Coturnix japonica: one gene and its partners. The protein of the gene in region 1 interacts with the protein of each later gene in a pairwise test. Links are inferred from orthologs where the notes say so. Each region holds a gene or a part of one and is shown on either strand. Other genes may lie near its edges. The genes, in order: KLC1, MAPK8IP3 and BNIP2.

Evidence for each region.
Region 2: the proteins of KLC1 (region 1) and MAPK8IP3 interact in binary tests that used the Homo sapiens proteins (3 or more experiments, as listed by UniProt). The link is inferred for Coturnix japonica from reciprocal best matches to the Homo sapiens genes KLC1 and MAPK8IP3.
Region 3: the proteins of KLC1 (region 1) and BNIP2 interact in binary tests that used the Homo sapiens proteins (3 or more experiments, as listed by UniProt). The two-hybrid records come from large-scale screens. The link is inferred for Coturnix japonica from reciprocal best matches to the Homo sapiens genes KLC1 and BNIP2.

What each region holds. Positions count from the first base shown.
Region 1 is NC_029520.1:45,861,563-45,869,780, forward strand, and holds the start of KLC1 (kinesin light chain 1), read left to right. Parts: upstream 1-2,741; 5' UTR 2,742-2,990; intron 2,991-8,218. UniProt on the Homo sapiens protein: Kinesin is a microtubule-associated force-producing protein that may play a role in organelle transport. The light chain may function in coupling of cargo to the heavy chain or in the modulation of its ATPase activity.
Region 2 is NC_029529.1:12,374,956-12,382,408, reverse strand, and holds part of MAPK8IP3 (C-Jun-amino-terminal kinase-interacting protein 3), read right to left. Parts: intron 6,318-7,453; 5' UTR 6,306-6,317; intron 3,027-6,305; 5' UTR 3,025-3,026; coding exon 2,969-3,024; intron 2,344-2,968; coding exon 2,191-2,343; intron 626-2,190; coding exon 571-625; intron 1-570.
Region 3 is NC_029525.1:4,455,386-4,463,347, reverse strand, and holds the start of BNIP2 (BCL2/adenovirus E1B 19 kDa protein-interacting protein 2), read right to left. Parts: upstream 4,857-7,962; 5' UTR 4,733-4,856; exon of another isoform or gene 4,719-4,732; intron 1,098-4,718; 5' UTR 960-1,097; intron 484-959; 5' UTR 403-483; coding exon 353-402; intron 1-352.

The DNA of each region.
Region 1 (8,218 bases):
GTGCCTGAACTCCATGCTAACAAGGTAGCTCTGCATGCAGTAATTTGCAGATCTGTACAAAGGAGCTAGACTAATGCTGTCTGCAACTGAGCACTTGACACTTTTGGTCTTAAGCCCTGATTTTTATGTTTCCTGTTCTTCATAAAGGACATTCTTGTAGGAAATATAATATAAAACATATGCAACTGTCAAGTGATAGTGATGAAAAGCCAGACAGGTTGCTGAATCTGGCCTTTCAGTATTTGTTATTACCAGGATGCTTTTAAACAGCACTTTAGCAGCAACTGAAATTATTCCAGTGGAATGCTTTATGGTAGCCCATATTTATAGAATGAAGTCATAGATTTTAAAGACTGTAAGTTTAGACTTAAAAACTGTTGTCTCTTTTGGCAGAAAGAGCAGGAGGATATAATGACATTGGTAAAATAAAGTGAGCTACACTTCATAAATGAAGTGAACCTGAACTTCTTTGCAGAGGCTTGCTCTAATTGTGGATGTCAGTCAAATTGAATCATGATTTGCTGTGTGTATTTCTCACACTTGCACCTCAAAATGTAAGAGCTTTTTCTGCTGCATGAGCTGAACTGTTTGATTTGCCCCCTCCCAATGCAAATTCCTAACTATTTTATGGGAGAGGAGGAAAATGGGTATGTTGAGAATAAAGAATTCAGCGTTATAAATAACATATTTGGGGGTTTTACTTTAATACCCACTTGGATGACTGCAGAAAACCACAGTGACCTTGTTGGACAAAGAATATTTTAGAGGCAGTATGTCTAGGTCACTTCATCCTAAAAACAGGGCACACAGTGTAACTAGTTCTCTAGGACAAGATGGAAATGTGGGCAGCAAACAGCTTTTCTACTGGAAGAATGCAGTTAGCTTATGGAGAATGGACAAGAAAAGCAAGATCCAGCTGGGGAGAACTGACGTTTTGGGTCAAGAAAAAGCTTGAGGAAGAAGCAAATCTCTTGTGTCTGCTTCTCCTCCACTGTGTGCCATAACCAGAGGTAAGCAATACTGCACATTAGTTCCATTGCAATAAGCAGCCTTGCTACACGACACAGCTTGTAGTGTGTGCTGCTTGTGTGGGAAACTGCAAGCATGCATATACATCATTAGGCAGCGTATTATGAATCAGGGTCAAAGCTGGAGTAGGTGCTTTGTTCAAGAGATACTCATTTCCCTGGGGTGAGCAGCTAATTGCAGGAAATCTTTGAAAGCAAATGTGTGATAGGAAGAAAGCAATGAATATTGTTTATTCAAAAGATAGGAGGGGTTCCTTTGAATCTGTTCTCTTGCATAATCATGTAATTAGGGCAAGTTCTATTTTTAATTAAATCTCTTGCATATTCATGAAAATTCTCTGAACTTGTGGACCAGCTGACATAACTCTTCATTTTAAAAACGTGTATAAAGGAATGGTTATTCATTTTTTGCCCTTTCTTATTACTTTCAGACACCTACTTCCCACCATTACACTCAGTTGGCCAGGCCACTGCCCAGACTTCCCTGTCAATACTACAGTGCCCTTTTCCAACCCCACAGGGACTCTCTGCTTGTGCATTCTGCAGCCCCATTTGTTTTGCTGGGCTTCTCTAACTACAGCACCAGTTGTGACTCCTTCTTCCATCTCCGCTTTAGAGTCCTGCCATTCTGTAGAGCCCATTGATGTTTTCTTTGAGGACAAACAGATGTCAGCACAGCTTTCCTTGTGTCTCTCAGAATTCACCACGTAGGTGAGGCCGCACACTCTGATTCACCGCTACATCTCCATATTTCTATAAGCTTATGATTCATATCTATATGTAATATGTACTGCAGGAGCTGCGCGGCGTTCAGATGATAATGCACCATAGTATTGTCTAGACATTAATAACACTTTATAGTTAGGCTGTCATCATTCCCCGATGACTCCCTACACGCATAGCAGTGCACTGTCATATTTAACTGTATTTTTCATCCTAGAACTCCCGTTTCTTCCACCATCATCACAGAATCACACAGAATCACAGAATGACCCGGATTGGAAGGGACCTCAAGGATCATGTAGTTCCAATCCCCCTGCCTGGCAGGGCCACCAAACATACACCTTTACTAGATCAGGTTGCTCAGGAGACCCCATAGATCCCCACAGAGACCCCATAGATCCCCATAGATCCCCCATAGATCAGGTTGCCCAGGGCCCCGTCCAACCTGGCCTTGAACACCTCCAAGGACGGGGCATCCACAACCTCCCTGGGCAGCCTGTTCCAGGGCCTAACCACTCTTCTAGTAAAGAACTTCCCCCTAACATCCAACCTAAATCTTCCCTCTTTTAACTTAAAACCATTTCCCCTAGTCCTGCTATTATCAGCCCTTTCCAAGAGTTCACTCCCCTCCTGGGAGTAAGTTCCCTTCAGGTACTGAAAGGCTGCAATGAGGTCACCCCGCAACCTTCTCTTCTCCAGGCTGAACAAACCCAACTCCCTCAGCCTGTCCTCATAGGGGAGGTGCTCCAGCCCCCTGAACATGTACCCAGTGGAGCACAGAGAAAACGGCCACCATTGTACTTTATGAAATGAAACGTGAAGCTACAAAGACACATTTCCTGCTCTCCCGCCGCAGGCCGGCAGCCATGACATCATACAGGGAGGGGAAGCGGCGGGAAAGGAGGGCGCGCGTGGGCTGCTGGGAGAGGGGAGGGCGGCCGCCATGTTGGGCGGGGCGGGCCGGGCGGAGCGCCGGGCGGGGCCGGGCGGGGCGCGGCGGTAGCGGCCGGGGCGGCGGCTGCGTGCAGCTGTCAGCGCCCGCTCCTCGGGGGCCGGGTCGGGCCCGTCGGCTCCTTACAGGTAAAGCCGAAGACACGGCGGTGCCCGCTGTCTTCCTTTCATCGAAATCCTTTTCCTTCCTTCCGCCCGTCGCTGACATCCTCCTCCGGCCTCCCCGGGCTGCGCGGCCCCCGCCGGCTCAGCGAGCGCTGCGCACATCCGAGCCTGCAGCACCGAGCGGTGAGCGGGGCACGGCGGGGCGGGGAGGGTCGGGGCTTTTCGGTTCCATCTTCGCCTTCCTCCTCCATCCCGGTTCTCAGACAACAAAAGGCTGCTCCCCGCTGACAGCTCCGCCGGTCGCGCTTTGTCCCCCCCGCGGGGCTGCGGCCGGCACCGCCCAGGGGGAGAGCGGGCCGGGCTGAGGGCAAGGCGTGAAATGGTGGAACGGAGGGAGGAAGAATGAAGGGAGGAAGGCGGGGACGGCGCTGATCGTGACCGAGCGGTGCAGGTCACCGTGATATGCCCCCTTCGGCATCCTTGTCTACAGTGAGGTAAATGGTGAGGGGAGAAATAACGCCGGTGCCTGACCGACCTCACTGGTACTGTCCTTTGGGCAGAGGTGAATTAGGAAGGTGCTTTATCCTTCTGGCTTGCTGCTGTTTTGGGTAGAGAGATGTCAGGTTGGTACAGCCGCACAGCGCTTGTGCGTAAGCACCGCGCCTCCTCCCTGTGTGCTGAGCTGAGCTGAGCTGAGAGAAGCCCGTTGTGATGGCCAGGGCAGCAGCACCCAGATGGACACACACTGCTGGGAGCCTGCTCCATCCATCAGGTGCTTCTGCGCTTTGTTTTTTTTATCCCCCATTAAAGATTTCCTTTGTTATATCCTCCGTCCTCATTGTAACAGCAGCATTCGAGTACAGAATCAGAAAGCAAAAGGAGCTGGGGGGGGGGGGGGGGAGGAAAAAAAGTGAAAGTTTGTTCTTATGCTCCACTTTAAACAGCAGAACGATGTCATTGGTAATAGAAGTTATTTTTTAGAGTCTTACATAAAAACGCCTGGGACGATGATACTTAAAATGTTCTTTTCGTGTTGCAAATGGCAGAAGGTTTGGTAACAATTAGTCTGGGAAGTAATTGTCTGTTTCACTTCCCCTTTTGTGTTTGTACTTCTCTGAAATAGGAAACATGCCCAAAGGGTGTGCATTGGAAAGCTGGAAAGGAACCTTCGAGATTTACACAGCATTTCAATATACAAAAATCAAATGAAATCAAATATCAGATCAAATCCAAACCTTCTTGAATTTGGGATTGATTTCAAACCGCTCTGGGAAATGACATGATTTTAATTGATTCTGAATTCCAAAGCTTCAGCGAAACGTGATAGAGGATATTATAACCCCGGGATTATAGAGACAATTGAAAGAAACACATTCAGCGTTTAGTGGAAGCAGAGAGGAAACTGATCTCTGTGCTGGTTCGGAGCAGGCCTCATGTTTTGAAAGGTGTTGCTGTGATTTAATTTTCTTTGTGGTTTAAGACAATATTTTTGTGACATATCCATGGATGTAGAAAACTCCAGTTCCAATTAGGTAAGAACTTAATGCCGAACCAGGTGGCAAAGTGCAGGGAACTGAAATGGTGAGTTCCCGAAGTCACACAACAATGCGGTATCACTTCTGCATCGTGTTGCAGTGAAGTTTGGCAGCATTTCTGTTCCTGATGGGTGGTGATGGAAGTGGGCACCTCCATTAATCTCACATTCTGACAGCAGTGTAAGTCTGGGCTCCGTTCATTTTCGAATCAAAGAAAACACGCTATTGTAAGTAATTTTAAAAGAAAATAAAGTTGTCCCCTGAATGTATATTATAAAGTTGCTTTGTTTGCTGCTCACTGCATTATTGGGATGTACCAACGATGCCTTATGAATGGAAACTAATCTTAAAAAGCCTTTGCTCAACAAAAGAATAGTGCACAGAATAGTGAATGAAATTTGTGGCAGTCTACTAAATGTTTTGACATACAATAATCAAAATGCTGTTCGAGGGAGGCGTAAGGGGTATAAAAGCAATTGCTGCTTGCTCTGTTGATGAAGAACGTACCATAACGAAGTCAGAAAGCCCTCACTTGTGTGCTACCCATAGGCTGTGTACATTTAAACACAGGGAGAGATCAGCGTATCTACGTGTGCATAAAGACATACCTACCTATGTCCCTTAATTAGGAGCCTGGGGAAATGCTGAACCCTCATGCTCTGTGCTGAGTCCACATAATGCAGCTTCTGTTTCTCTTGAGACATGTGGGCTGTGCAGATACTCTTTCATTTCTTACTCTGCTCGGTATCTCTGGAAGACGTGTAAGTAGATTTATGCTGGTATTAGCAGCTTCTTTCCAGATGCTTAGCTCATAATTATTTTAAGACTCAATGAAGTGTACAAATAACTTTTAAAGTACTGTTATTCTGTGATTCTGTTTTCATAAAGGGAGTGAAAAAATGAGTATGGGTACATTCATGACGATTCAATATGTATTTTTGCATTTAATGTTGAACCGTGTGGTAGCAAACAAAGATGAAGGTGAGAGTTTATTTAAAGGAACCTTTTGCTGTCCGTGTGCCTCAGGGTACAGTTCAGCATGACACATCTGCCATAAAGCTGGGATCTGACCAATTCCATCATCATTGCAATAGAAGTGGCTACATAGAAGCGTTTATTGTAGCATAATCTGCATAATATTTTATACTTTCAAAGTATTTTTTCATCTATGAAAACACAGTATTTACCTTGACCAAAGTTTAGGGAAAAAACACATATTTCTTTTAGATGTTAACTGTTGTTTTCCTTAAGACAAAATCATTGGGCATGCAGTGTATGATGTATATACTTCCTGGTAGCCAAGTACTAGTGGAAGGCAAACGGCTTATTTTAAAAGAAGTATTTTGGCCTCAAAATAGAGGCAGTTATATCCTGAGTCATGCTCAGCTTGAGGTAGTGAGGCTCTCCCGGTCGTTTCTTTAGTGGAACGTTTTCTGTCTAATAGCAGGTTGTAGAAATAAATGTGGTTCCTTTGAAAGAATACTTACCCAGTCACCACAGTCAATAAACACCAGACCAGGAAGCTTGAACTCATGCTGAGATGCATTTGTTGCTTTGACTTAAGGGATTTGAGCCGGGCACTTTGTAAGAGGGCAAGAGCCAGAATTACAGGTCCTTTCAGTGATGTAGGAATCATTTCCACAGGGTTGTGTTTGAGGTGCTTTGACAGATAACGCTGGGCTTGTTTTGGAAAATGTTTTTTGTAGCAGACAGTTAATATAATGCGTAATGACAGGCCGTGGCAGATAGGCAGGCATGAGCACCTAAATATATTTGGGTGCATGAACAAAGAACTGGTGTTCAAAGGACAAACACTGAAGCACAGTTGATGCTTATTTTCTTCATACAATATAAAATTAGCATATCTAATCTCTGACACTGGATAGTTTCTTCAGATTGAGTCAGCTAAGAAGGCAGATGCAAGTAATAGTATCTGTCTGTTGATTTAATCATGGTTTGATTCTCTGAATCCAGCTTATCTCCCTTGGGTTCTGCTGTTCAGCTCTTTTCAGTGCCCTCAGAAGCAATCTTTACCCTGAAAGCTGCTTTGACCTGCAGGTGGAATTAAATCAAATTTATTTTTTTCAGATAATTATTATTGCTCTTTTTTTCCTTCCTGGTTTCTTTTCTCTCTCTAAATTAGGAGTCATGTCATCTTCTATTCTGCGTATGCTTTCCCCATGTTTTCTACTTAAACACAGATTTTTTTTTGCATGGTTTCTCAGTATCGTGTCTTAATCACAGTAAAAAGAACCAAACTAATAGATCTTAGTCAAATTACCTTAAAACTGAGCGTTTTCCTATTTTGATTCTTAATAAATATCTGCTATAAAACCCATTAATCATTTTAAGTTGGTGTTTCAGTGCTTCCATCAGAGCCATAGCTGACTTTATTATATTCCAAAGTGAATGGAGTAAAGGATGTAACCAGTCTGGTCAGTTATACAGCTTCCTTATAGCTGGGTAGGGTGGGGTGGTGGCTCACTACAACCTAATCACTCTGTGAGCATAACCCTGTATTTATTTGCACGCACCCCAGAAAACCATTAGAAAAGTTAACGATGCACTAATTAACATTGAGAAGGTTGAGAAGTGTCAGATGTTTTTTTCTTTCTGACATATATTATTTTCTGACAGTTAATATCTGCTTTGCTTACAATATATTTTGTGTATATCCCAGGAATCAAAGTTGTATCTAAAAATCAGTCCGTTTAAATGACAATACTTACCACGTCAGAATGATCAGATAACAGGCTGTATATCAGGATATCGTAGTTCTGGGTATTTTGTATACATAGGCTCTATTTTGTACACATATACTGATTAACTCTTCTTTGCATCCTGTGCTGCCATCCCTCTTAGCAGTACATTACTGCTAATGTTCATGGAGTTCTAATACTGTGCTTTACCTACAAGTAGGTAAATACTAACAAAATATGAAGGGCACTTGCAGCCTGATGGGAGAAGGAGGTGTGTTTTATGTTGGGGGGGAGGAGGGGAGGGTCCCCTTTTCTTCTTTCCTGCATAGCATATTGTGTTTAAGATGGAGTGTTTCTGTGGATGTTCTTTATCAGTGTCTCGCTGTATCATGTTGGAAAGCCACAGCTGTATCCTCTGGCTTGTGCAGCTTCCTTCAGAGAGGCAGCTGTTACTCCTTTGTCACTCAACTCTGTTGGCTTTAACATGTCATTTGTTCACGTTGTTAAATCAGATGCGTCCCCCAAGTGTTTTGAGAGAGAAGCAGCATTATTTGCTCACGGCGCAGTGTGTAGGTGGATTAGTGCAGGTGGTGGGATGGTAAGGAGAGGTTGCGGCAGGAGATGGGGAGGCAGCAGCCTCATAAACTTGTTCTGATGACAGAAACGTAGTACATAAGCATCTAAGGATATAGCTGAGAGTTTTTTGAGTCTCAGGGCTGGTTTATGTAGAACCACGCTCCTGCTGTTTGTTCTATATCCTCATTCTGTTAACATGGGTCTCTGTATGGCGGCACAGGGAAATAGATCCATTTTGGCTTGGTTTGTGCCCTGAACCTGTTATTTTTGTCTCCTCACCTTTGTCTGAAAGATAACGCAGTGAAAGGAGCAGGTCTTTTATATGTTTGTGGATGGGCATGCTGGTGTACTAGGATGTGAATGAGATGTCTGGCTGCATGTGGAGCACTGCCAGCTTTTTGTCTCCAGCCATAGCCTTGGTGAGTGAATGCTCATGGTCTAGGCCAGATACCTGACAGCCATTTCTCTCTCTGAAGTCTCTCTCGTATAAGCCAATAATGGATGGGGGATCTAAGAATGCACTGCTGTTCATGATTTCTGTGAATGTACTGCTGTACTGAAATATGGAGCGGTGCAGGAGCTGTGATGGTGTTTGTCAGGA
Region 2 (7,453 bases), on another chromosome or scaffold:
TGCACAAAGTCCTCTTGGTTTACAGCTGCACTGCCAACATGAAACTAGCTCTTCTGGGGAAGCCTGAGTGCCACTATGTCCTGTGAGAGAGCACACCTCACACTACGCTGCCTGGCATTCAAAACTGAGGAAAACCAGGAAAAATGGAAAGGCGCTGAGCTGGGCACCACTCTAACACTGGGGTTTTAAAACCACACTGACTGCATTGTCCCTCTGTCAGCTGCTGGTCTTTGCCAAACTACAGTTTGCAAGTTATATGCAAAGGTAATTGCATGACAGCAACATGCAATCTACCAGCTTTGCTTTCATCATTACCAAAGAAATGCTCAAGAAACATTTAGATGTTGCACTAAGGGACGTGGTTCAGTGGGGAAATGGTGGTGGTAGGTGGGCGGATGGACTGGGTGATCTTGGAGGTCTTTTCCAACCTTGGTGACTCTACGGAAGACAGATCGGTCTGCATCTCAAGAACCTTATATCAAGTATTACAGACTAAGTATATAAACCCCCTTTCCCCACAGGCATTTTAGTAATGTAATATACCAATTCTGTACAGAGATAGCTGCTTACATCCTCCACCTCTTCTTTGGGTTCTCGTCGGGCAACAATCGCTTCAGATTTCACTCTAGGAAACAGGAAGAAAAGCATCAAACCAGCAGCTGATACTGTGACTGCAGCTGGGGGGAGCATGAGGGGACTCTGGGGGAGATCTGGTTGCATCAGAAAGAAACCATTTTCCATCTGCAAGTGACACAAACCAATTATGAGGTGCTTCTGCGCTACTCTTCCTCACTCTTGCAGCATGTTTCTGACATCATCCCCTCCCTTTGGAACACATAATTTAAGCACCAGGCCCCAAAATACAGACCACTGGGACAGATCTGCTTCAGAGCCACAATTTCTATTCAGATGTTTGTCAAGATCTTAACCACATAAAAATTGAGCCATTATCAGCAACTACTGCTGGCTGAAGTTCTTCTGGGCTGTCTCTCTTTCCAATGCAGTAAAAAAGCCTTTAATATATGAAGGGCAGTTTGCCATCACAGCAAAGAAATGAACCCCAAATACATGTAAATACAAATTTAAAAGGATTTATCTGAATGCTTTTAGTTTACTTAAGCCTTGTACCGAGGGTCAGTCCCATTCGAATCACATGTACTTCTATGAGCAAGGAAAAAAAATGCCATCTTTATCTCCTAGTAAAGCACCCTGGACAGTTGAAAGTCCTCATCCATGCTGCATATTTATGTATTACATAACATTCTAAGAGACTCAAAAAGACAATTAAAAAAAAATAAAAAATCAGGTCTACTTCCACTGGCTCATGAGATCCCTTCACTTCAGACACTGCAAACACTGAAGGAACCCGACTGTGTTGTGGTTAGAGACTGTGCTCAGCAATTTCAAAAGAATGGAGGCAACCTTCCAGATTCAGGATGCAAAACAAACACCCCCCTCTGAATGTGAGTGCCACAGCACAGCTGGTACAGCTACTTAAAATGCAGTTATGCAGCCTGGAGACCAATGGGGCCTGCGTAGCTTTATGGAAGAGAAAAATTCCCAGGCTTTGTAGGCATTCAGGTTCAGGTTTCTCTATTTTGAGTGGAAAATAAGAAATGGGATTTGCCCAAATGCCACCCGCAAGGAGCTCCACACTCTCTTCTCCCTTTTCTTGTTCTTAATGTGAACAACAAGACAATTAACAATACTGACATCTAAATGCTGTTTGTGAGGAGCTGCACTCATCCTTTCATTAAATGAATGGGCATTCATGCCTCTCTGCATGATCTCGGCCACCAACAGCATCAATCTGCTGACAGTTTTCTTCAAAACCACTGTTTCAGAAATTCCTTCGTTATTTGTTTGTTTTTAAGTACGAACTGAAATGCTGAAAGCTTCACTCTGGGCAGCCCAGATTTGCAATCATTGTGATGGAACCTGAATATTAGGGAGGAAAATTCTGTAGGTTTTCTAAGGTTCAATAGTTCATTTCAGACTAAGAAAAACAATTTAAGAACACCAGAAATATCTCAGCCATGTACTATCAGCCCCGAAAGCTACCTCTGAACTCCAACATTAATGTCCATGAATGAAGTGCAGAAAAGCTGACCGGCACAGGTTTCTCTCTGAGGCTGTGAGTTCATCACTCAGGTTCTCCCAGCTCCCTGACACAGCATTGAAATCACTCACCTTTTCAGCTCTTCCTCCAGCTCCTTGACTCTGGTTTCCATTTTGGCTTTGGCTTGCTTCGTTGCCTCAAGCTCTCCCTTCAGCACTTCTTGTTCTCCAGACAACTGGTCCACCTTGGCAATCAGATCATTCTTCACAACGTTCAAAGCATTTCTTAAAGGTGTGAAAGGCACAATAAGCAAAAATGGCCCAAACCATAAGCTGTCCATAAGAGAGACCTGAAACTAAACTCACAGGCACTACAAGGAGAGTTGAAATGAGCACACTGAAATAAGTCAGGCTATAAGTCATGAAAAAGCACATCTTGACAATGAAGAGCTATGGCAGAACACAGCTGGTCACAACAAGGTCTGTGCAGTTCTGCATTCCGACTGACAGACCAACCTCAGGTGCTTCAAGGCAACCTGACAGCTGTACAAAATGAAAACCTATTTTAAGAGGATTAAGAACTGAAACATAAGAACCTGTACTCTGAACCTCTCAGAATCTGTATTATTTGTAGTTGCTGACAACTGGAGATGGTGGTGACATAATTCGGTATTTCCAATCAGTTCCAAAGTATCTTAAAATCTTTAAAATGAGCACCTTCCCATCACACCCAGTTCCATTAGGAAAATTGCTCAGGAGAGGATTTTCTCATCTACATTTCAAAGCATAACAAGTGTTCAAGAGAGCCTGCCAGATACACCAGAAAGCCACAGTGAGGCTGGAGTTCTAGCCACAACCTTCTTTGTGATGGTACCTCACTTATATAACCAGGCACACAACAGTTTCTTACTTGGTCTCCAGTAGCTGTGAGTTCTCCAACAGCAGATTGCCAACTTCTTTGCCCATTCCTGAAAAAAACAAAAAAAAAAGGTCAAGCAGTTTTCATCTGTTTCATCTGACTCATGCTTGGGAAAGAGAAATCATTTTTGTTAGGCTTCCCTACAGCCAGCTTCATCCACTTTAAAGGCTTCCTATTACCAGCCTTCCACTGTGGCAATATGAAAAGGACTTCAGATCGTCCAATGCTCGACTATTCACCTTGAGCAGTTCTCTCACAGGGATTCACAGTTTGAAGTCTCAGGCCCATGACTTAAGGACCACTCCCAAAAGAGCAGATCAGACATACTGCACATTGGGCAAGAATGCACAGAGGAGAGGCTGCAGCACACAGGTCAGGCTGCAAAACTCTGTAAGATTTGGAGCTAAGTGTAGAGACTGAATTTAGTAAAAACGAACTGAAAGGAATTTAGGACCAAAACCACAAGTGGAGCGCTCCCTGCTGCCGGGGACCTGCAGGATCCCAGGATCTGCTTCTATTTTACACATAGATACAGAGGCTACCTGTTGTTTTAAGGGACAGTGCTGAGTGCTGCAGCTTGCTTCTCAATACAAGCCCCGGGGCACAAAAAGGCATCACAACCATCAGTGTTTGTGCTGTAGTGTTCCTCATCCTGCCCTCTGAACTACCTTATCCCTTTACAGCAAAGGCATCAATATTTTCCACAATTGTTATTTGCTGATTAATATTCACAATGAAATAAAACCAAAATAAACTGTAAGTTAATGGAAGTTAGAGAAACATGACAGCATACAAGAAGTGAGAACGTATCACAACACTCCAACAAAACAAATCCTCTTCCCACAGTTAGATGGCATGAAGTTATGATGGCAAAAGCAAATTCCCAGCAGGAAGGAATAAGAAGCAGCATTTCAAGTTGTTCTTTGGTTCCTTTTTCAATCGGTAGAAAGAGAATCAATCACTTTGATGTTTCAGGCAGGTTTCTCAGTGTGTCAAGGAATACTGCAAACAAAAACCAAAGTGTACTTCTGGCTGGGTAAGGATGAGCTATAACCCTTTTCTCCCACAGCACATGCACTGTTTCTAAAATCCAGAGGTCACACAATACAGACACGTGTTTATTAAATATTTCTCTGGTTCCTTTCGGATGATTCTACAAATGATCAAATAAATATTTAACAAGTGAGGCATTAAAATGGCACTAAGATGATATTAAAAAAGACACTGTGAGTGCTGGCATCCTCGTGCTTGGTTTTTTTGTTGGCGGTGGGACGGTCAATAACAGTTTTCCTTCTCATCCCTGAGTAAGGTGAGTCTGCCTCTGGGAGAGAAAGGAACTCTGGTACAGAGGGTCAGTTGTTACCCCAGAACTACCTAATTAGTGTGTGACCCAGCCCCAGCCTGATGCTTTAACCAGTGGGAGGTCTGAAGGGCCGGTCTTGCAATGAAGAAATGGATGACGCCATCCTGCAGCCATAGAGTGAGACACTATGAGATAATCTCACACAAGCTGTAATGACAAAGCCCCACTCATGGAGATAGAAAAAAAGTGACTAAAAGGAAAATTCTTTACTCCTTACGGTGTGGGACAAAGGAGAGAGCCACACATCACTGTGCACCTCCCACAGCCAGGCAAATAGTATGAAGCATCAAAGTGGATAATCAAGGGAAGGAAAATCCCCAAATCACAACTGTGGACCAGCTGCATCCTGCTTCTTGGAGAGGTGAGACCACCATCACAAAAAGGAAAAGCAAAACATAAACCCACAAACCAATGTAATGCAAGACACATGGAGGGGATATTGAGTGAATGGAAGAAATTGTAAAAGAAAAAAAGAAGCGTGGTTAAAAGAGGAAAAAAAAGAAAGAAAAAAAGAAAAAAGGCCTTGGCCTTACCAAAGAAATCATCCCGTACTATGAGAGCCATCCCACACGAGAAAGGGAACAGAAAGATAGGGGGACAAAGGGGGAAAAAGGAAGAGAAAAAAGCAGCCATTAAGTACCAATCTGTAAATAGCAAACAGAGCAGCTCATCAGCATGTGTAAACGCATGTGGTGCCAGTATAGGTGATGCTCAGCATAAACTAACATACACCTTGTTCAGCTGCAGCCTGGCCTGGTAGGGATTTATGCCTGAGAGTTCAGGACAAGCTGAAGACGAGTTCATCTTTTTCTTCCACCTTCATCACTTACCCTGGACTAAATATCTCTGTGCATTCCAACCCCACCACAATGGCAAGTCAACAGACATGATGAACAGGGTGAAGGAAGGGCAGGAGAAAAAACAAAACGGGAGGGATATCAGAGCTGTTATCTGGCCTTCCCTGCACAGATCCAAATCCACTTTGCTACTGAGATAAATTCCAGTGCCACTTCAGAGGGGGAGTCTCTGAGAAAAGACCACCCAAAAATGGCCTACAGTGACAGCCCAAACAATCTGAACTAAGAGAGAAGATGATGCCGTTCCTTCCTCCCTTTTGTGACCTTACAGACCCAACATCAGGAGGTTCCGTGCAGAGGAATGTGACAGAGCTCAGCACTGCACAATTATGCCACAGATTTTGTACCGTATCAGCCCAAGTCGCCTGTCCTTATTACAGGTGAAACTTCATCCAGTTTGCACTGAAATCAACAGCGATTTCCTTGATTTCATCTAATTATTTTTTTTATCAGTACCCAAATGCATTTTACAGAGAGGTGAAAATTCTGCAATTTAGGCCTGCTGACCTTCGTATGGGACAAAAGGCAACAGAGGCGGCACTTCAAACTCCTACTGAAAAGACAAAACAAACAAAAAAAGGCCTGTGGTTCTGCCACTCTCTTCCCTACAGAAAAGTCTTTCTTTTCACTGCAGCTGTGGGTCAGGATGCATTAAGAAACTCATAGTGAGCATCATGCAAGCAGAGGGACTCCTCACAGTCTTGTTTACTTGAAGAACAGGAGTGAACTATGTAAATCCTGTGCTCAGCTGAGCTCAGCGCAGAGCACAGCGCCTGCCCTAAAACGAGGCACTTTGCACCCCAAAGCAAAGGAAAGGCACAGCGTGGTTTTCTCAAGACCTTGAGACGGGCCAGTGTCAAAACCTGCAGAAAGCTACACAAAAAGCGGATCAAAACACAGCAGACACGTGAACACCAAGCAGGAATAGCCTCCTGCCCAGGAACCCGCCAGTGCAAGGAACCAAGCAAGGCAAAGGTGGGAGAAAGTCAGCAAAGCCAACCGTGATTGGACAAGAGCAGGGGAGTATCACACGTGTATACCATATCATTGAGTCTCAACGAGGTAAAAACAAACAAGAAAGGAAACTGAGCAGAGCAGAGATACACACCTGAGAACTCCCCTATGGGCCATGTCCAGCGAAGCACAGAGAGACAAGGGAAAAAAGGAAGTGAAAAAAAGGATCGATCAGTGACTGAAACCAACAAAACTAAAATTTTGTTTCAAAAAAAAAAGAATTAACAATGATTCAGCCATTTCAGTGTCAAAAGGCATGAAATAGTAAGGACGGGAACTGCCACGACTCTACATACAGGACAAAAAAACCAAGGAGAGGGAACCCCTGTTAGAACTGCAGCCACACGCCTCAGCCACCCCCAGCCTTCCAGACACGAGTCTCAGACAGTCGCATCTCAGCCTGGATAAACCTTTCTTTTCTCAGTCACACAGCACTAAGCGCAGAACGGCCAGTTTCCACTGCCTTCTTGTTCCCCTCCCTTTGTGATCATTCTCCTGTTAGCAGACAGATCTGCTGAAATTAAACGTGCACTTCAGCCACATTTCAGCATGCAAAGGACAGCTGCATTTTACAACATTTTTTTTTTCCAACAGCAGCGCCAGGGCTCAGTCTGATAATTTCATTTAAACTTCTGTATAGAAAAACATCATTTATATACATGAACTTACCACTAACGTAACAACTGCTGTTTTCACCATAAAACACCCATTAATGAAGTAGATTTTAATCTCCAAAGCAAACACAGGAGGCCACCCTAACACTGAAAAAAAGGACTTCGCAGGGCCCATTACCCAACTGTTAGTCCTACCCTATGTCCAGAGTAAAGGGATAATGAAGACCAGGAAAGGAGATATGAGAGAAAGGGGGAACAACCCACAAGCAGCTGGGACTGCTACACTTTCACAGCTTTATCAGACTGCTACCTGACACAAAGCTGCTTCTCTGACTGCTTCAAAGTCCTCATTGGGAACATAGAACATAATCAGACTTCAGATACAAGAAGCTCCTTCAATATCAGCCTAAAAGGAGAATGCAAAACTCTCTTGGATGACTAAGAAGGTAAAAACTGCAGTGAAATCTATGATGTTTCCATACGAGAACGACAATTGTTCCCCTTAAACTTAAAGAAATCTTAACAAAAGGGTTTTTTTCTTGCAAACTTCCAAGAAAAGCTCTATTCCAAGTGAAGCTGCCAGAATGCAGAATTACTGGCGTGAAGATTTGTGGGAGGAGGGGAAGAA
Region 3 (7,962 bases), on another chromosome or scaffold:
CTTAAATGCTAAAACTTGTCAGAAACATTGCTTATTGAAGTATTCAGGCCCTCAGTCATTGGTGATAATAAGCAAACAGTCTCAAAAAGTTCCTTTAACACCTGAAGAAAACAAGGCTGAACTTACACTTTCATTTTGGTAACATCAGTAATTTCAGTACGGGCAATCTTCTATTACAAATCAACATAAAGCTATCGCCTTCCAGGACACAAAGAAACAAGGCACAAAAGCCTCTCAAGGTCACTATGTCAGTGGAAATCACTGCAAGATCAAGTACTAGCTTATCAGGAAAATAGGGACAGCTTATTTTGGATGTTCTGTATTTGATTTTTATTTACAAAAAGTTTAAAACCTTGGAAAATCTTCATCTTGCCATTCTTCCTTAAACTCAACACCTTCCATTCTCCAGCCAACTTGAACTGTTAATAGTTACTCCTGATCAGCCAGAACCTCTCGTCTTCTGGACAGCAGGCTAATGAGCAGCTAGAGGAACATAAAAAGATACAGTTCAGTATTACAACACTGCATCCCATCACTTACCACCAAGCTGAGATATTGTGTGGAAAAAACAGGGAACAGTTGCCAATTCATCCCCTCCAACCCCACCCCATCCCCACTTTTTTTTTTTTTTTCCAAATGCAAAACTATTTATAATAAGCTGCTTATAATAACAAAACTGGCATAATAATTTAGGTTCAAAGGGGTTTCTTCAAATCATCTAATCCAACACTCTGCTCAATCTTTAGGTTATAACCAAAGCTCAGAGTAACCTGACCTTTCATTTGGGATTACACCAGTTCACTCCACGGTGTATGAAAAAACAAAACCTTTAAATTATATGAGAGATACTGAATAAAGGTATATTCTGGGGAAAACACCAAACCAGATGGTCAGGTCTAAAATACAACTCAGTTCTTAAACAAACAATAAAGACTCCAATAAAAAGAAAGAAAACTTACCCTGAGATGTGCAAGCAGAGCTGCGTTTTTTCAGGCTCACCCATCACCAGCAACAGGGAATTGCCAACAACAGAACATAATAAACCATTCTGCTAACATCCAAATCCAATCCAGTTGAAAATCCTGGCTGTGTTGGCTCTTAAGATTGACAGAAACAGGTAAACTTATCAACGATAGGAAAAGCAGTACTAATCAAAACAGGAAATTGAATCGTATTTTTAAATGCAAAGAAGCAATTAAGGTAAAACCCAGTAAGTACAATGTTGGAATACAATCACACTACTAATTAAGCTAGAGAGATAGTTTACTCTTACATGGATAAAAAGAAACAAGCCATGCTTACTGTTCAGTAGAAGCAACTACTGTGGAAAATGTCACTTTCTCTTCTCCAGATCCAATAATAACCACAGACAGATTCTCAAAAGACCTGCAGTGCTAAGGCTATGCTAAACAAGCTGCATAATGTAAAAATTTAAAAGTTTTTCATTGTTAAAACTGCATTACCAGAAACAATTAGGCTTGAATTTGTCATTACTGCTTTATTTTACTGACCTTTCCTTCCTCCCACACCCAGGAAACAAAACTAAAACTTCCAGAAGGTAGCAATCTGATCCCCCTTAGCAGAAGCCTTTCCTTCTTTGAGTTGTTCAGCCCCCACCAGCTCAGCCGTGGGCAATACGTGCCCATACAACCTCCAAGAAGGTGTCCCCAGTCAGGGTCCTCCCAATGCTCCCTCTTCCTATCTGTCCATTTTGACTAATGCGTTGTCTGGAATGTTTTCTTGCTGCTTGAATCATACCACCTTCCTCACAAAACACGCCCTCTCTCATTACGATGTTGACACCCTTGGTATGAAGCTCTTCCTGCGTTCTGACCTGCTGAGTGTTTGCAATAATGAATTGAAAGAATTTGCTTGGGGATGAAGTCCTATTTTGATCAGCAGGAACAATTAATTTGTACATAGCACTCTGTTACATTTGTTTTGGGACACTGAGATGAAGCACAAGATATCCCACGTGGTCAAATGAAGAAAACATGGCATTTACAGTCAGTATGGAATGAACCATCTGATGCAAAGACACAGCTCCCTAAAAACAGAATAAACCTAAAAGGAAATCTCAACTGGTTATTCCACTCTTAAGGGCAGATTATAAAAGGAAGAAAGATGACAGCAGAAGGAAAGACAAAAACCAACACAGTCATGGCATGGCTGGCTTTAAGGCACCACTTTTATGTATGCCCGCACTGTGTTCACATTCCTGTTCCCCCAAGACTCCGAGGCTGAATTCTGCCCTAACAGCTTTATCACCACACACGATGAATGCTGAGCAAAGTAATCTTCAATTTCAGGGAAGTCAGAGAAGTGCAGAGTTCCTGGATAGTTAACGAATGACCCTGTATCATAATACCTGTGCTTACAAAGTACGAATGAAGTTCATCTGTTCATACAAGCTAAAGCAGAGTTTAGAACTGTTTTCCTATGGCTGCTGTGGCAGCAGTGGCTTTTCTTTTTTACTTCACCCAAGTCTTTTAAAATCAACTGTAAATGAAACATGTAAATGTTAAACTTGAAAGTATAACACTAATAATGCAAGTCTTTACTAGTCACATAGAAGAGAAGCAATTAATTTCTGACTGGCACTCGCACTCCTCGCAGACAACTCACAGCTTCTCAGAACAGCAGATCTGCTTGCTGTTTCTCTCCATGTAATGTACAGAAATGGAATGAGAAGACTGGGAGATACATCAGGTCACACGGAGAACACCCAGCTGCAGGACTGCCACGTGGTTCTGCTCTCTTCATGCAAACCCTGGGCTTCACTGCTGTTACACTCCTAAGGAAGTCAGAGCACTACAAACAGCACAGAACTAACACAAGGCACCACATCACTGCAATCACTTCGCTGCTACAGCTAATGAAAGGACCTCAGTGCAGACCCGCAGGTTAAACCCATGTAAATACTTAGCTGAGGTGTGTTACTGCTTGCACCACAAGCTTAACATGGGTGTTCTCATCCTTTTCCTGGAAAGAGCAGGTGCTCAGTTCTCACCAACACAGAGCGGGCTTGGTCTGGGTACATGTATGGTACACATACAGCATGGTTGAGAAGACCATGAACTGCCATTGTTTGGTGTGGTTTACAGTTATGTGTGTACTCTAAAGTGTTCTGACACTTAAAGAAAAAAAGACAACAGAATGCATAAAATTTACCTTTGAAAAAGGCCTGTTGCACATTTGAGTGGCCTTATTATTATTATTTTTTACACGTTTCCTTTCACCTTTGAATTCTCCACAGAACACCAACAGGAGATAAGAATTTGCCTGACCACATCTATATATCCATTACAAAGGCCCGTCATATTGGGTCCCCGATAAGGACATGAGGGTTACAGCATTTGTAGTAGAACGAATAGAGTTTATGCTGCAAGACACCTGTAGTGAGGAGCACAGTGCTGAGCTGCGCCCCGACACACACAGCAGCACACACAATGCTGCAGTCCCAGAGAGCTAAAAAATGTTATGCTGCTGTTTTCCTATGTTTCCCCTTCACCATTTCATGAGAAAGATCAAATGGAATCCCACATGCCGGGCATTAAAGAGGTGCCTCCAAGAGCAGTTTTTAATTTCAAAGCACGCCAGAAGAATACATATATATAATTTCCTTGCACACGGATTCATATTGCAAAGCTCCCTGTAATTTCTAACTATTTCCATAACCCCACTGGCTTTGAGAACAAAGCCACGCTCACTGCAAGCCTGAAAAACATTTCCCAAGATACACAAGGACAGACATCCCAGTCACGTCACCTGCAAGTCAGCACAAGGAGGCAGGCACAGGGCTCTGCTAATAGCACGGCTCGTCTGCCTTTCCGCAGCAAGCACACAGAAATCACTCGGTAAAGCAGGAGAGCTGCAGGCTCATGCCCCGAGCACTCAGAGCAGTGTAGGAACGCAGGATTCTGGCCTCGCAGGGCAATGAGCTGAACTGTCAGACACACCAACAGCACTTACACCCGATCGAACAGCAAGCAGCATTACTTGCTGAGAACCGACTTCACAGAATCACAGAATGACCCGGGTTGGAAGGGACCTCAAGGATCATGTAGTTCCAACCCCCCTGCCTGGCAGGGCCACCAAACATACACCTTTACTAGATCAGGTTACCCAGGGCCCCGTCCAACCTGGCCTTGAACACCTCCAAGGACGGGGCATCCACAACCTCCCTGGGCAGCCTGTTCCAGGGCCTAACCACTCTCCTAGTGAAGAACTTCCCCCTAACATCCAACCTAAATCTTCCCTCTTTTAACTTAAAACCATTTCCCCTAGTCCTGCTATTGTCAGCCCTTACGAAGAGTTTACTCCCCTCCTGGGTGTAACTTCCCTTCAGGTATTGAAAGGCTGCAAACTTAACCAAACCGATCGGACACTGCGCAGTACGGCGCACTGACAGCCGAATGTAAGGAACAAGCCAACTCAGAGGCCCGACTCCAACAGCTCCGCACCGTGTCACTGTTACAATGCTCAGCACAGCCCTATTCCTGCCCAGGCACCACAGCAGCCGCCCCCCAATACAGGAAACACGCGCCCATCACCATCCCGCTCCTCAGCTGGAGGAGCCGCGCCCCACAACGCAGCGCTCCCGGCGAGGCCCACGGTGCTGACCTGACCCCGCCTGTGCTCAGCCGCGGCCCCACGCCGCCTCCCACAGCTCAACATCCCGACTCGCCACCCCCTCCCCGACCCCCCCCGTGCGGTACCTGGCCGCACTCACACTGCGGGTCAGTTCGGAGCTGACGGCGGCCGAACCGCTGCGCTGTGCCGCCCTGCCCGACCCGCCACTCCGCGCAGTCCCGGAAGCGCGCACACCGCCCACCTCATGTGACCGCCGCGCCCCGCAAGGATTGGAGCGCTCGTGCGCATGCGTCAAAGCAGCTCCGCGCAACTCCCTCCTGTGGCTGCGCATGCGCACTTGATGCTCGCGCGTGAAAGAGCGTTGGAGGTGCGAAGCTCTCCACAGAGTGACGGAATGAGGCGGGTCGGAACGGACCAAGAGGGGCACGAAGCTCCGGCAAATGCCTGGCAGCGCCACCGAACTTACATGTACAGGTGGAGTGCACACAAAGCCGAGTTCACCATCCTTTGGCAGCGGTAAAGACAGCAGTTGAGGAGATGGAGATGTCACCAGAAGGAGATGGAGATGTCACCATGAGGAGATGGAGATGCCTGAGGTGCAGAGTGCCGCCTGAGAACAGCCCTGTGATCCACCCCGCTGGGACACAGTGCTTTGGAACAGCAGGAACACAGTGTTTGAATGCACAAAATTCATGAAGCTAAGGGGCAAACTTCATATTTTCATCACAAGCTGATCTCTGCAACAGTGGTTCTGCTGGAACATGAACACACATATCTGTGTGTGTGCCAGCAAACTCCACTGCACACAACTGCTGCCACTCACATGACTGCAGTCAGGCAGAGACCAACCTGAATTGCTGCTCCTCACAGCACAAAGGTTGTCCACAAGGCAACGATGCACCAATGTTTGAGCCCAGGTACAGCTGGAACGTGAGACACGTGCAGAAGAAGGGTGGGAAGAATAAATAAGTGATTTAATGAATGGAGAAAAATACTGTATGAGAATATATTGCTAAAGAAGAATAGATGGTAGAGACATTCACCCCCTACCTTCCCCCCCCCCCCCCCCCCAACAAAGATGATATCTAAGGATAACGGGAAATAAAGCAATTAAGGTAAATTTATTAGAATATTTATAAGGAATTAGTATAATTCACAGCAAACAGCCTGTAGGCGTTACTGCAAAATCGGCTTATCAGGTAATAAACACAAAGCAGGAGCCAGCTTAAATATAAAGAAGTATGAGGCTGCTGGCATGAGAAACACAATAAAACAGGAAGTGGGAACAGCAAAAGGAAAACAGTATTTTATTCTCCCACCTCCATTGTCACCATTTATTTGTTTGTGGAGGTAACAGCCACAGAAGGTGATGAAACAGCACTATTCAGTGCTTCAGGACATGGCATTTTCCTGGCTGCACACCAAACTTACCATTACTGCTGTACGCACCTTGGAACAGACACCTCATGCCCGTAGGATCCCGGTTTTTAATAGTGCAGATCTGATTACAGGAGTTCTGTACAATCTGTGTACAGGTATTTGATATGCTGAGCTATTTAGGATTGAGTGGATAGGGATCTCCGTCTGCTGGTGCAGTGTTTGTGAACAGCTGGACTTATGATGGAGGGGGTGTGTGGCAACCTTCCTTATCCTCCATCAGACCTGCAAGATAAAAAGGGCTACTATTACGTGTTACATCAAAAGGTTTAAAGTTCACATTTTAAGAAATATATATATTTATATATATATGTTTCATTAAAAATAGTGTTTTAGCTTTTCTAAATACCATTTGGTTGCTGATAAACTCAGAACTGCCTTCACGTTGCACCCATTGCCATCTGCAGGACCACTACCCAGGTCACCATGGTGAGCAGAGCTGTGCAATTTCCCATTTCTTACACGGGGTGGCACAAGGTGGCTGGAAATCTTTCTGGTGCTCCTGGGTAACCTAGAAAACAAGCAAACAAGGGGTCAGAGAGAACTACTTGGAGGTGTTGAATAATTCTGTTTCCAAACATCAGACAACTGCAAATATAAGCAGATTCTCACATGAAAGCTTTACCAAAGAGAGCAGGCTTCTAAGAATAACACTCTGTCATGTTAATTTTGTCCTGTATGTGGGAAAAATCAACTGCTGCATAACTTCAGGTCTGAAATAATTCACAATTAACCCATCAAAAGAAAATAATAATAATCTAAAACTACACAATGCAGAAACATTCACATTTTCATGGTTCTTTCCTATTTTGCTTATTAAGCAAAACATCATCTATTAATTCCAAAATAAACAACAACCCCTAGGTGACAAATACCATCTTTCAACGGGTTCAAGCAATCAGGAATGTTGGGATTTGAAACTATTTGTTTGAAATTCTGTGTCTGTGAGTTTGGACACAGCACCTGCATCTGCTCGTCGCTCCTCCCAGCCATTTCCCTGTAAAGCATACAAGCATTTTTTCTCCAGCCTTTTTCACTTTTGTCTTAGGCTCCTGTGCTACACAATTACAAGAGCAACATATTATTTAGTGATGATTCCCAAGTTTGTGGACAGGAACAAAATAGCATACAGTATTCTGATATTCTTTTGGTATTCCTGTAGGGTGCATCATCATCGTGTTTAAAGCCACGTATACAACTGTAATCTGTTATCACAGCCAGCTAGTTGTGGTAGTTTAATCCTCTCGGTATATCATGGGGTAAAATACTGAGCAGAAAGTGATCCTGTCCTCTTCATGGTCCTTCTATACCCCAATACAGTGTATCCCAAACCTCTTTCAGCTACTTCAGGTAGAACCCACTGTGCTGTACAGGACTCATTCTTCATAGTCAGAATTGCACCTCCCACGTCGGCTGATTTGCCCTTTCCTATATCTGAGCAAGTTCCTTGTTGATTAGCAGCCAGGACAGAAACTGGGTCTAGGTGAACATTCTGTGTTTGTAATTTAGCAAGGGAAGCACAGCAATATAAAGAATGTGCAACTTTCATAACAGCCAAGACAAACCCCAGACCATTTTGAAGATGCAACTATTATCTTTACTTAAATTGAGTCTGTCCATTTGTTTGTGATTCAGGTTTTTGTAACGTATTATTCATATCGAAGAGCATCTCAGTTTGTAGGATACAAACATTAATACCACAGTGGGAGGGGATAATGGTTATGCTATTCACAGAAGGTTCTGATATTCTTCGTTAGTATTTAAATGAGCTTTCTGTATCTGCAGGTGGCCCATACCACGTACATTGCTATCCACATGGTGTTTGCTAACTACTGCATCCTCAGACAACAGTAATTCCAGGCTTCACTTCAGTTGAAAATGGAAGGACTTACAAATAATGTGGAAGAATAAAAGCAGCGCATCTCTGGCACC